Neodiprion lecontei: one gene and its partner. The protein of the gene in region 2 interacts with the protein of the main gene of each other region in a pairwise test. Links are inferred from orthologs where the notes say so. Each region holds a gene or a part of one and is shown on either strand. Other genes may lie near its edges.

Evidence for each region.
Region 1: the proteins of activating transcription factor of chaperone (region 2) and CCAAT/enhancer-binding protein gamma interact in a two-hybrid assay, tested with the Drosophila melanogaster proteins (2 studies listed by BioGRID, with this or other methods). The link is inferred for Neodiprion lecontei from reciprocal best matches to the Drosophila melanogaster genes crc and Irbp18.

What each region holds. Positions count from the first base shown.
Region 1 is NC_060262.1:41,866,097-41,871,863, reverse strand, and holds CCAAT/enhancer-binding protein gamma, read right to left. Parts: upstream 3,844-5,767; 5' UTR 3,686-3,843; exon of another isoform or gene 3,553-3,685; intron 2,459-3,552; coding exon 2,345-2,458; intron 2,012-2,344; coding exon 1,855-2,011; intron 1,766-1,854; coding exon 1,662-1,765; 3' UTR 512-1,661; downstream 1-511. Other genes in the region: histone acetyltransferase KAT7, read left to right, coding at 5,057-5,089, 5,567-5,767.
Region 2 is NC_060261.1:30,601,090-30,608,844, forward strand, and holds activating transcription factor of chaperone, read right to left. Parts: upstream 6,116-7,755; 5' UTR 5,959-6,115; intron 5,421-5,958; 5' UTR 5,326-5,420; coding exon 5,061-5,325; intron 1,635-5,060; coding exon 778-1,634; 3' UTR 176-777; downstream 1-175.

The DNA of each region.
Region 1 (5,767 bases), on a different chromosome or scaffold from region 2:
GCCAGCGCCGATTTCCGTCGCCAGCCAGAGTTTGGTTTAATGGTCAAGCCCCGTAAAACTCCTCGAGTTCGAATTTTGCAAATTGTTAATCACCAGATTAAGATTTACAATTTTACCACTTGAAACACTGACAGTGAGACCATTGGAAAAGGAAATCGCTCCGCGACGCTTGAACTTTGGCGCTCCGATTTTTTTTCTTCTGCCCAAAAGAAACCTCTATCTCGATTCATTGAGTGAAGAATATTTCGGCGATTCAATGATCAGTTAAATTGGCTGATAGATAATTCCTTTTAAAAATCAGAAGCTCATGTCGAACTAGATCTTATTCTCTTGGATCGCTGTTAATTCTACCTTATCATATGCCGTACATTAAGCTGATAACAGCATTCTTTTTGAACAATTTAGATTCCCAAAGATAGATTTTTTCAGTTGATAAGTTTGAATGTGAGGGCGACATAATCTGCGAATATTGCATGTTTTTAGCTGCGTAAGTTGAAATAACAATACAGAATTAAATTTTTCTCGTTATATTATAAGTATAATTATTATTTACAGAAATATATGCTATGCATGTACATATGTGTACACTAAGTATAATTACCTACAACTCACTGTATAAAATTAAATGTAGTCTATTAATACAGATATGTATATGTATACACTATACTCGCGCTGACAACCAGTACACTCGATTTTTAGATAAAAAAAAAATCGTGATCTGATACTTATCAAACATAGATAAAATTAGTTGTAAAACAACTCTAATTCATTGATCTTAACCAATGATTGAAGGGAGGAAGAAAGATTGATCCGCGCAACAAATATTCACGGCCCATCGACTGCGATGAATGTGGTACTTACTAGCACTTACTAATGAACGTCGTAAGTAAATAGATTTAAAGGGCCACACCTAATACTACGATTTATCATACCATATTATCGTCAACACATACACATATGTATATAAGACCATAAAAATTTTACGGTATTATTACCGTCTGCAGATAGAACATATGAACGTAAAAAAAAAGTTACCGAATTCGCGATAGGTAGATAATTTCTAAAACGAAAACTTTACCTTGATGGAGACGACAAATTCGTATAAAATAATGTATACATATACGCTAGTATACATGTGGTTTTTATTCCTTCCGAATTGGGAACATAGGCAGAGTTGCAATTCATGTTGCACTCCGTATAAAAATACTTTCCTGCAGCATCGACGGCAGATTTAGGTGTAATGTGTTTTTGAGGGGCACACAGTTCGTTTAGAATGTGCCCAACCTAATCTCTTCGTTGTAATGCAAGGTTTGGAATCACGCTCGAACTGTTAGTGCAATGAGGAGTGATTCTCAAGGAGATCTCTAACACCAACAGTGAGAAGAGAGACGCTCCCTTTCCCATGTCGATTTACATGATAAGTTCAAAAAATGCTGGTTTTTTGCATTAGCGTTGACTAAAGATAGACATAAATAAACAAAAATATTTTCATAGAGCGGCAGGATTGGCAAAAGAGGGCGAGGAAGAGGAAAAGGCTCTTAACTTCTCACCAAATCAAAAGGACCAACCGTTGTCCGTTTGGTTGTAATTTCAGACAGAATTAAAGCACGGCCGTGCCAATACCCCGAGTTTGATATAGTCACGTGAATTGGTCCTCAATCCTACAGCTTTGTTGTTGGTTTTACATCGTCGGAAGACTTCGTATCTTCTGACAGCAATGCGTTCAAATCTAGGTCCTGAATATTGATTGGGTGTTGACTGGAGCCTGAGAAAAAAATTACCAATACTATACCGCATGATTTGTTGTTATAATTAGTGTACAAGACAAAACTTATCACGATATGCACTCCATACCTGCGTGGGCCAAAAACAGGTCTTTCAAAAATCCAAGCTCCTTGGTTAGCATCTTGATCTTCTCCTCCAACAATTCGTTTTCTGTTTTCAGCTGGTTAACTCGCTCCAAAGTTTGCTGCGTTCGTAATTTACTCTTTACCCTTGAACGCTTTACTGCCTACAGATTTTATAACAAAGGAAATATGATAAGTCAAATCGATGCAAATACAACTTGAAAATTTGTTACATTAAGAATGTCCAATAATGACCATTGATAAACACTGCACGTAAGCACAATGTTATAGAAATGAAAATATTTTACGAATCAGTGGGAAAATTTCAATCGGAAGGAAGGGGTCCCAGATGTAGTCACTGATGTAGTTCTATTTTACATTTTCGTTTTCTACTCCACGATTGTATATTACAGTAGTGTTATCTTATTGAGAAAAGTGGCGCAAGTACATTGTCCCGCAAACAATAAATATTCTGACATAACTGAATCTGCATCTACCTGATTGTTACGATCTCGTCTTCGCCTGTAGTCGTCGTCGTCATCTTCTTCAGAAATTGCTCGTTTCGACTTTTTCGACGGGTTCCCGGAGTTTTCCTTATTTTTGGGTGCCATCTGGAAAAAGAAAAACGGATTTTATTATTAAAAACGTTTGATTCATATGAAGAAATACTATTTGTTCAGGGTTTGCAAATCTTACAACATATACAGTCTTTACTGGTATATATTTGAAAAAATATAAATATTGAGCACCTCAGAAACTAGGATTTGAAGTGGTCGAATAAAAGCAAATTCCATGTTTCAAAATTTGATCACGTATCAACGATAATTAGTGGAATACCCTGATCGTATTGGCAAGGTATATTGTTCTCTATGAAATATCCAATTGGCAAATACTCTCAGTTATGCGTACGACACAAGGCGACTACTACCCCATGCTTTGAACATTTTTCATACCTTAATTTGGAAACAGGATTTGAATACATTCAACTGACGCTAAATTTTTTTGATCAAATATGTTATTACCAATTTCTAGCTGGTATGGTTTAGTTAATTTGGAGGGAAAAACTTAAATCCAATTAAACGGGATGAAGTCATAAACTAGAGCGTACCAATTTTTTATGCGATGATATCAATTCAACTGATAGTTGATTAATTCATTACTGAAATTTGTGGGCAAAAGTTTGTACAAAATTATGTTAGTAAGGTAATTTCTCAAAAGTTTCAGAAAATTCTGCAAGGACAATTATCGGTATGAAGTAAAAGAATTTGAAAAACGTTCACAACGGGTTTTGATTTCTAGTGGTACATAGATCAACATCCCAAGTCAACGTTTGGGTATTGATTTATCACTGCTAATCAACAGAAGTTATCTGATAATTTTGGCATTACGGCATTACCTATGACCATAATAATATGCAAAAAGTACCGAATACCAAACGCGTTCTCGCTAATTCTGCCCATGTGTTTCACGCTTCTACGTAAACTTATGGCGATGTGTGCGTTCTTGATCAAGCGATGATGCAAGATACACGCGGCTTGCTCGCGCTCGTGGGTTGCCAAAATTTGCCGCCATTTCATTCGAGGAAATCGAAATTTTACAAATAACTTTAAGCAATTTGAAGAATTTTAACAACAGAATTTATATTTTCAGGAATGAAATACAATTTCTCTACTCATTAACTGGAGTTTGGTATTGTTACACTTACTTTAGAGTCAATGTTTTTCAAATGCGTAATACTGATCAGTTAAGTGCACGACCATAACGCCATACCGTTTCAATCAACCCACTATCAGAAGCGAAAACTTCACAAATATTCGCCATCAATGAAGTATACGCACCACCGTCAGTTGCAGGGTATTCGCTTTGTTTTCTTATCAATGATTTGAGGCTGCTTCTCGCTGTTGACACACAAATTTCGTTCTTGAATGCCACCATAAACTCGACTGTTGCGATCCAATTGGATAGGTCAGAGATGACGCAATGCTAAAAGTGAACGACTGTCGTCTGTCTGGCCGTCACCGCGTTTGATTCAAGTCTCATATTGGCGGCCACATTCAAATTTCAAAAAGTTCGCACAATTCTAAAAGTAAAATTGAGCTGTGATTGATCTAGAGTACTTTGACTTATATGCCCTATCAAATATCTTAACCGTTATTAAACAAGAAGAATCTTGTCATGCCTATTTTTCCACTTATGTGTAAGACTATAAAAATAATTGATTGAGAACGGCCGGTCAGTATGCAGTTTACATTGTTAACTGAGAAACAGAGACATATCGTGTCCTCTTCTATTTTACGTGGTAGATAAAGATAGACTATGTATCATACCCAACCGAATTCGGAACGATATCCTTACCATTGACAATGAGTAACTATATTCTACCAAAGATCACGTGACGGCAAAGTTGAAAGGTAATGGACAATTCAAAGAATAGTCAAGAGTACACATGCCGCAATACCGACATGGTCAACTGGCGTACCGATATCAATGTCTTATCCTTTTCCATTCCACTCTTTGGACGAAGATAGAAAACACAACGCTACCGGCGGAACTCCTACATTGTTAATATTACCGATAATCACCCACTTCGCTCCCAGATCTAATTGTAAGTAAAAAATTGCCCAAGGATGGCATTTTTTAGTAGGATATACCCTAATTATCTTCATTTCTGAAGATTTATCATTTAACTAAAGATCCTTCAGTCAACGCTGGAACGCATGAACGACGCATGTTCTAAATATACCTATTATACTAACAATAAAGATAAATCTGAACTATTCTGATCCAATTTTGAGTGTACAAAAGATTGCTAACCTGTATTTATCTTAGATTATATTGAAATTCATAAGAGACCTATGTTTAAGTTGACGCGCTAATTTGTGATCAAGCATGGTCGACTTCGCCAGTCTCGCGGAGCAATCTTCACATAGCTCAGTGGTGCGCACCCATAGACTTATAAATCTATGTGCGCACCCTGTGAGTTGTCTGTTGTGTGCTCGATCAACGGTAAATACACATGGCAAGAGGGCGAGGAGGAGGGGAGAAGGGATTTGTCATTGGAAAATTAGAATTGTAATGAAAAGTGGGTGAAAAGTTGATGAAAAGCTTGTGGTGAAGCTGAGAACATGATTTCATTTTCGTTAGAAGTGCACTTGTGCCAATATTTCGTTTCAAAATGTGAACATGACCTTTAGAAATGACAAAGTCTGATGGAACTTGCCAAAATGACTCCCAAACGAAAGGTACGTAACCTGAAACATAAAATCCCATATAAACAGTTTGATTCGAGCGTAAGATTTCCACAACCAACGAAACTTTTGCGTAACCGAAATTTGGTCCACTCTCTTCGCTTTTCCGTTGATACAACATTAAACATATCTTGTATACGAAATACATTTAACCTAACCTAACCTACGAATACAGTACATATATAATACATATTTTCCTTCAATTTTTTAACTGGTGCAATGTTGCGTGCAGTCTGTCGCTTTGATGTAAAATTTACAGTGCATAATATTATGTGAACGATATATTTCATGAGCACGTTTCACATCAGTACACTAGATCGCAGGCTGCATTGGTCTCCTGTTGTCTCAGTCGTAGACGCTACAGAGTACAAAAATAGTCTAATAAATGCATGTGCCTAAAATACGGTCAACTAATCTTATGTCATTTATTCTTCATTTACTGTTATCACATATTTTTGTTATACATAATAGACAACCAGCTCGGAATCAACTTCAAGCAGTAGCTCAGGCTCATCGTCGAGCAGCTCATCGAGTTCAGGTAGCGAGTCAAGTTCTTCCGATTCTGAGAATTCCAGTAGTTCTGCGAATAGTCGGAAGGTTTCGGATTCGGAGAAAGGAAAGAAGAAGACAGCATTTGTATTGGGACGTCATGGAAAGCCTAAAAATGAAACG
Region 2 (7,755 bases):
CGTTCATTTGTTCAACAAGTCATAACTGACTGGTCACCATAGTCGCGATTTTCAGTGGTATTCCCGAAACGTGATCATGTTCATGCGTAAAAGATCGTCGAAGTCCACTAACTCGAATTCTGACAATGTTACGTAACCGCGTCGGTTGAAGTGAAAGTCATGGACAAGTTTCAAGTATCGGTAAAATTATTTATTCTTCCGGTATACAGACATGTCTATAATATATGAAAATAATATTTTGACAATCTCTACTTGAACAACGGACATGCATCAAGTTGAGATTCATGCTAAAATTTGTTTGTTAAAAAAATTAATAAATAAATAAAAAAGACGATCGTATCGGGAGACAGCAGAGTTCCACTCAGGTGAGCTTCATAGGGCTGCTCTCCTCCTACAATCTACCTTTTTACGATTTTTTTTTTCGGATATTGAACAATCTGATGACGTACATAAAGTTTAGGATATCTAATATAATCCAAGGCAACCCACTTATGGTCAAGTCGACCGATGAGGAAGCAGCAAGTGGCCGTTCGCTCTCTTTAGGTATATAACATGCATAATTATACATTTGTGATAACGTACGAGTATTTGAATGAGTGTTAGTTACAAATACGCGATGCCGAAACTAGGTACCGCGTAAAATAAGGAATAAGGTTGTTAAGTACCAACTACTAGTATAATATATATATATATATATATATATACATATATGTATATATACATGTGTGTGTGTGTGTGTGTAAAAGCAACGATCGTATACAAGAGTGATCGAAGAAATTATTTCATAAGTCCCTTGGCTTTGAATAGGTCCCTCATCAGCCCCTTGAGGCAACGAATCTCCCGCTGAAGATCACCAACTTGGCCCTGCAGTTTCTCATTGTAATTAGTCAGCTCCTGTACCTCCCCCACGATCTCTTTTATTTCTTGCTTTTTCTTCTGCCTGTAACGAGTTGCTGCGTTCTTATTCTGCTCTTTTTTGCGGACCTTTCTATCATCTGACGGTGGACGGGAGTAAGGTTTGCGATAACGATTCTTCGACACAACAGGTGTTGACGTGGTAGAAGGTGTAGCTTCGGGTGTCCACAATGGATCATCATTGGAATCCTCCTCAAAAGATACACAACTCGTATCAGAGCTAGTGGATAGACTTGATGATGATATATTCTTGGCACATGAGCGAACTATTTCGTCGACTGCTGCCAATTCGCTTGCGACGTCCCCCAGTGGTTCAAGAGAGATGTTCTCAGCACCCCATTGCGACAATGGGGCGACACTGGGTAAGGATGGAATTTCTTGAAATTGATCCTCGGGTTTGACCACAGAAACGCCCTGAGTTTGAAAAGTTGGTGATAGAGATATCAGTATTTTGGAATTTGTTGTGTTGTAGAATTTAGCAGGAGGTGACTGTGGTGGAGTCAATGCCGTGACAGGAGCTTGGTAACAGGCCTCTACATCACCCAGTACACTTTCAAATTCCTGTAGTAGGGTCCGAGTTGTTTCTTGTTGCTGCAACTGCGTTTGCAACTTTATTGTACCTGATGGTAGGATGGGCTGGCTGATCCCATAGTCCAAAGGTGATAGTTCTTCGAATATTGGTAGGTCAGTTTTCTCTTCAAGCCAGTCAGCAGAGGGTTCTGTGGTGAGAAAATATAATATCCCATAAATACAAATGGATGTAAATATATATTTTCATGCTGTAGATATTCGCACGGCAATGGGCGATGGTGTCATTGTATATGAAAAGAAAAATGGACGGTAATAAATATCGCAAAGCCTCAAGTACAACAACAGGGATTTCAAATGACCGTCTGACGAATAAAACTGAAGTGTTGCAAATGAAAGAATAACATGATAGAGATCACTGTACCTCTAAAAAGAATTATCCACAGAATCCCATTGATATAATATAAGGTCCAAATAATAAATAAAATACTACATCCTTTAGAAAAAAATTGATCATCTCCATATCAATTATTTCCAGTTTAGTGACAAGCCTCTTTTTTCTGTCAGAGATGATTCAACCATAAGAGAAATGTGATAAGTTTTTTTTTTTTGGCAATTCTACATGAATTTTCAAGGTGTTGACCATTTTGTTCAATTTATAGCAGTATCTTATTCTTGTATTTAATTCATTCCTATTAACATAATTTCACTACTTTCACGTAAGTTTGAATGTGTGCTGTGTATGTGCATGTTTTGATGCACACCTAATACTATGGGCCACCCATCTGTCCATCAATCTATCTCTTTATCTTTGAATGTGTTAACGTTTACAGTAAAGAAATATACATATATATGGCATTCCAGGGACACTGAATAACAAGTAGCTAGAAACTTGTTCATATTTTTATAAAAACTTAAGAATTCTAAACAGCATAACCAGTTAGAATTAAATATACCTATGTATTAAACTGATAGGTGAATAGAGTTGCTACTATTTTAGTCGTAGAAAATATTCCATTCACATTGTAAATATGTGAGGATATTTTCTGCAGACAGTAATATTATTAAAACAAATACAAGTAGCTGCCATCAATTTGGTTGTAGGTTGTATGGACAACGGGAAGAAGATATACAAAGTGTTTTTCATAGCAGTTTGTTTATTTGATCATTGTATTGCAAATATATGAAGAGTAGAGCAAGTGCATCAGTGCCAAGAGAATAGCAATGATAGTCATATTCAGAAAATGTGAAGTACAAGATATTAGAATTTGACAACAGCTACTGGGTAAGGTTTGTTGTTCAATAAATAACACGTTAGATATATATTTCAAGTAGGATGTACTTTCTATTATGAATTGGTATTTGACTGGACGAACTCCATTCATAGAGATAGAGATTAATTTATTTGTTACAAAGTCAGATAATATTTAACCTAAACTCATCAGATTTCCGAACAACCAACATTTTGTTGATTTTGCTAAGAGCTCGTAAACAGTGACCATAGATTCCGAGTTAGAGGGAATACAAAAAAAATGTCTACGACAACCGCCAAGTCCCTGACCTACTTTCAAATGAAACTTTGCTTCATATTGCTTTTCATACTGATTAACCAGGGAAATAATCTCAACTTTAATAACGGGGGCATGAGAGGTCAGATAAGGAAGTATTTACAGCCAAAACAGTACTTAGAACGATATAATAAAAAAGGTATTTCGAGACCATATGGAAATTGATCTATAAAGTTATTAGTATAAAAAGTGGACATTGGTATATATAGGAATTCAAAAAGATTTTGCTGATGCACAAATAAAATAATTATATCTTTACTATTACGATAGATAATGTGACAATGTGTTGTGATGTGTGAGAATAATGAATGGGTCAAGGAAGTCAAGTAGGTAAATGTGAAGGACAGCTCGTTCAAATCACTTATATTACAGCTTACAAAATTGTTAATCGGAACATAATAAAATCTCGCGTTTACGCAAAACATTTAGTCTATCGCAGGTTCAACAGAATAATCGAGACTACCAAGAATTCCTTAGTAGTCTATCTGATGGTAAATATAACTGTACAATGGTAAAAATGAGACGTTTATATGCAATGAATGTGTATATAATCACTGTTTGTCTTAAACATTTAGTACAAATATAATACGAAACATACCACGGAAGTACAAAGTAGCCATAATTTGAAAGGGTTCGTTGTTCCTGGAGATTCAGAAAGATGACAAGCAGGTAATATGGCAACAGGGTTGAGACTTAAATTCTTTATTGAGATTGTCTTGTGTCGTGAGGGATGGAAGGAGGCAATTACACTATTTGATGGTCGTAATAGAATCTGTGTGCCAGCAGCAACAATTCAGCGTCTTTTGACTAATTTCTGAGAGTTGACGATGATTTCCCTGTTCCACGTGTAATGGTACGTGAACTGCATGCTATTGTATAACATTAGCATGCGCCAACATCGAGAGGCAGAGCCTATGTCTGATTTTCCTTTTAAAACTGCCAGTATCACCAAATCCAGATCAATGTAGGGTCAAACAACGTTCAACACTCGCCTTCTAGTAGATATTCAAACAGAGTCAAACATAACTTTAGCACAAATTCCTGTTAAACATGTATCTCGTACTTTGGGTAAAGTCTTACACGTTGTTTTACTAGCACATTATCAGGACAAGCACTATGTCTCTGAACATGGACAAACACTATGTTTTTGGATCGAAATATGGTGGTAAAAGTTGTGTGGGGTAAATGAATAACTGTGCAAAAAGTGCCGTATGTTGAAGAACTGCGTTCACAATATTGAATATCGGGTGTAAGTTATGCTGCTGGAGAAACCAATAGACACACCACACCAGGCTTACACAAAGTCACTGAGGCAAAGAGGAGTGGGACGTGTATCATGTGGCCTCTACACAGGAGACTCGCATACTTATCTGTGAACTTTCCCCCCTCCCGTTTCTTTATTGCCTCCATCTCCCCTTCCTTCAGCCTCTTGCCCTCACTTCTACCAAGCTGGCTATATAAAGGCTAACCAGTTTGTTCCACTCTCCACTTTTCCCAATTTTGTTTTTTCCCATATTTTTATTTTTCAGTCAAATTGAAATCATATAGGTGATGTGCGAAAAAAAAAAAATTAACCTCATGTCATATAAATGATTCAGAGCTGTAAAGTAAAATTAGAGACAGTTTTGACAAAAAACGCTGATTGAATTAAAGCCATAGTAATAAATGCTACGGCAAGAGATTCCCATTTAATCATTAGAAGAAATACAATATGAATTAGAAATATCATTTCTCCTTACTTCTTGCCATGCTGTATGAAGGGAATGGCGCAATACTGTCTGCGCAGATTTCAAATATTTGTGCTGCACTTAAACATATTATGTGTATTGATTGGATACCTAGTGATGGATATTGGTTGTCGGATTGTTTACTTATACTCAACATGGTTGAAATTTATTTACTATCAAATTAAAGTGTCTGGTTTGAATAAGCATAGCGTCATTTGATTGATGAAATGCAACGTAGGCAAAATGAAAAAAAAGGCAGTGAAAGTTTTTATACAGTTGTAAAAATAATCAAAGATATCTTTCGTTATCTTCCAACAATTACCTTCTTTGATAAATTCTTCCAGTTGTTCTAAGAGTTTAGTAGCCACTTGCGCTCGTGATGTTTTCTCGTCCGCCTTTTCCGCCTCTTCCTCGTACATGACCTCTTCCCCATTGTTGCTGAGATTTTCAATGCTATCAAAGCTCAGCCAATCATTGAAAATGTCAGAGGTAGAAGTTTCAATGGGCGAAGCACGGGAATTGGGTGAAGCCGGTGATGAGGGCTCCGCCTTCAATACCCAGATTTTCTGATATTGATCGGTAGACATTGTTGGTATTTATCCGATCAAAAGATATGCTTGGATTATTATAAGGAATTTGAGTCGTCTTAGCGACGTCGCTTTTGTTGAACGCCATGTCGGCCCTGTAAATAATAAATGTGTGTCAATTCAGCTTGTAAGTTTCTCTAAACGTTCGTTCAAATCTAGATTGGCAGTCACTCGCAAAATGATTTCATTCATCTGTTCACCACGCCCTCATCATGCAGATTTGGCGAAAACCAATTTGAGCCATTTGGCCACGGTGATACTTTTACTCACATCAAGAGAACACTCAATCTAATCCAAATAATTTTCATCACAGGTGTCAAACCGAATTGGATATATTCAATGCAATAACAGATGAGATGGAATAAACGAATCGATGATTCGTTTTATTACTAAACTGAAGTGTTCTCCAAACTAAAATGCTTAATTAGCTCCAAGAGTTTATCAACCAGGATTTCAAAATTGGGTAATACTTGAATTTGTAGCATGGAAAGCGTGCGATTTCGCAATCTGAGGTAACGTTCACCAAATGGAGGGCATGGCGGTTCTTTCTCAAGTACCGTTTGATGTGAGCATCTGTATCGCTGATGTTATAAAGCAGATCAAATAAACAGAATGAAACATATAGCAACTTACCCCATGGTTATTATGATGTGATGGCACACTTGCGTGTGCAAAGTCGATTACCGACTAGAAACTCATCTTCACCCCTTTTTTAATAGAGCCAATAATAACGATGTCTTCTTTTCTGGTTTCATGGATGGAGAATGACTGATTTCTACGAACGTTGAGTCAATGAATTTCATGGTATCAGAGTCGACTCCTATTCGGACGGATGGTTACCATGGAATTGAGTTCGCTATTCGGTCGACAGATGTCGGAACAAGGGACTATATTCACAAAATTCATGCTACCGGACGCTGCGCGCCAAGCTGTGGGTAAATTCAAACGCTTATTTTCAACTTGGACATTCACGGAAATATTTGGGGAGCCACGGATAGAATGAAACGAACGAGTACACGATCACAAGTTGTTTTTTATCGGATTTATGATGATTGTCTCGCAGTTTCGACCATTCACTTTACTTCACAACTATAAATAGATCGTTACATGCGTGGATGAATAAAAAATGAAGTCGACTAGCTCGTGTGCTTACTGGAGGTAAAACAAACTTCTATGGCTATGATGCCTGGACGCTTGATCGACGTTGTTCGCTATAATCGACTGATGTCGCACAGCTTTTATGCTATCAAAAGATAAACAAGGACGAGATAATGTGCACGCAACTGTCAACGCAGCGCGCTAATTCGTCGATCAGAGTATAAATTTGACATTGAACGAAGATTAACTACGCGGATTCAGTTTGGAATCCCGTAGCTCGTAACCTTCCAACACCGGCGCGGAATGTAAATATTACCACACAGCCGCTCCTTTGCAAACAGAACACCCGCTTATGCCTCACGTATACGTACAACCGTTGAATTATACTCAAGGTAGTTCGAATCCATTACCACGCGGTCTGTACGCGTATCAAGGATGAACCCCACAGGTGCGCAAGGAGCAAGACCGCTGACAAAATCAGTGCGTATAGTATGAATTACGGTATGCACAAGGATGTGAGATCCTAGCTGTAATAGATTGTTAAAGATCACCTCGATATTTTCCGCGAGATTTCGGATATTCTGTTCAGTTTTCAACGCTACAAGTTTCATTCCAATCTACTACTAGCGTGGACTTTCTTTGTTCCTACTATAGTCATGATCGATGACGATTTCACAGCCACAATGGCAATGAGACTTTATTACATGTTTGCCCTGGGAAATGCGAAACCCATCAGCTTCGACGCAAGTGCCAACTGCACCGCGCCTCGGCGGAATATTCGGCAGGTTCTTGCAGAGGTGCGAATTATTTGACAATTTTGAACCGAACTTAATTCAGTCTCGATTGATTGTAACGATTTGCGGATCAACGAGCGCTGAGGAACTTTGGAGAAGACATATATCCCGAATGCTATATTGCTTTGAGTAATTAGTATAATTAAGGAACCAATTTTTAAAAAATACCGGAACAAACTAGTTAGATCTCTTGAAGTCATGGCCGATATTGAAAAAAAGCTTACATCGCTTTGTTTCATTTACAAAGAATACAAGAAAAACCATTCGCTTTAACGGAAGCCTGTACGAATTAAATCGTCAGGATCGTAAATTACTGCATAGCAGTGAAGTTATAGTTAGGGAGAAATGTGACTTTCGCTTGCGCGGAGGAGTCAAGTGAATTCTTTTCCATACATATTGATGACAGACCCATTTGTACAGCGAAAATTGGTCGCCCTTTCAAATTCGTGTGCATTGTCAGTAGATTAACAATCAGTACGCAAGACACTCTGGTTACGGGTGTTGATATTTTAATTGTTAAATCAATGAAGATTTTTTT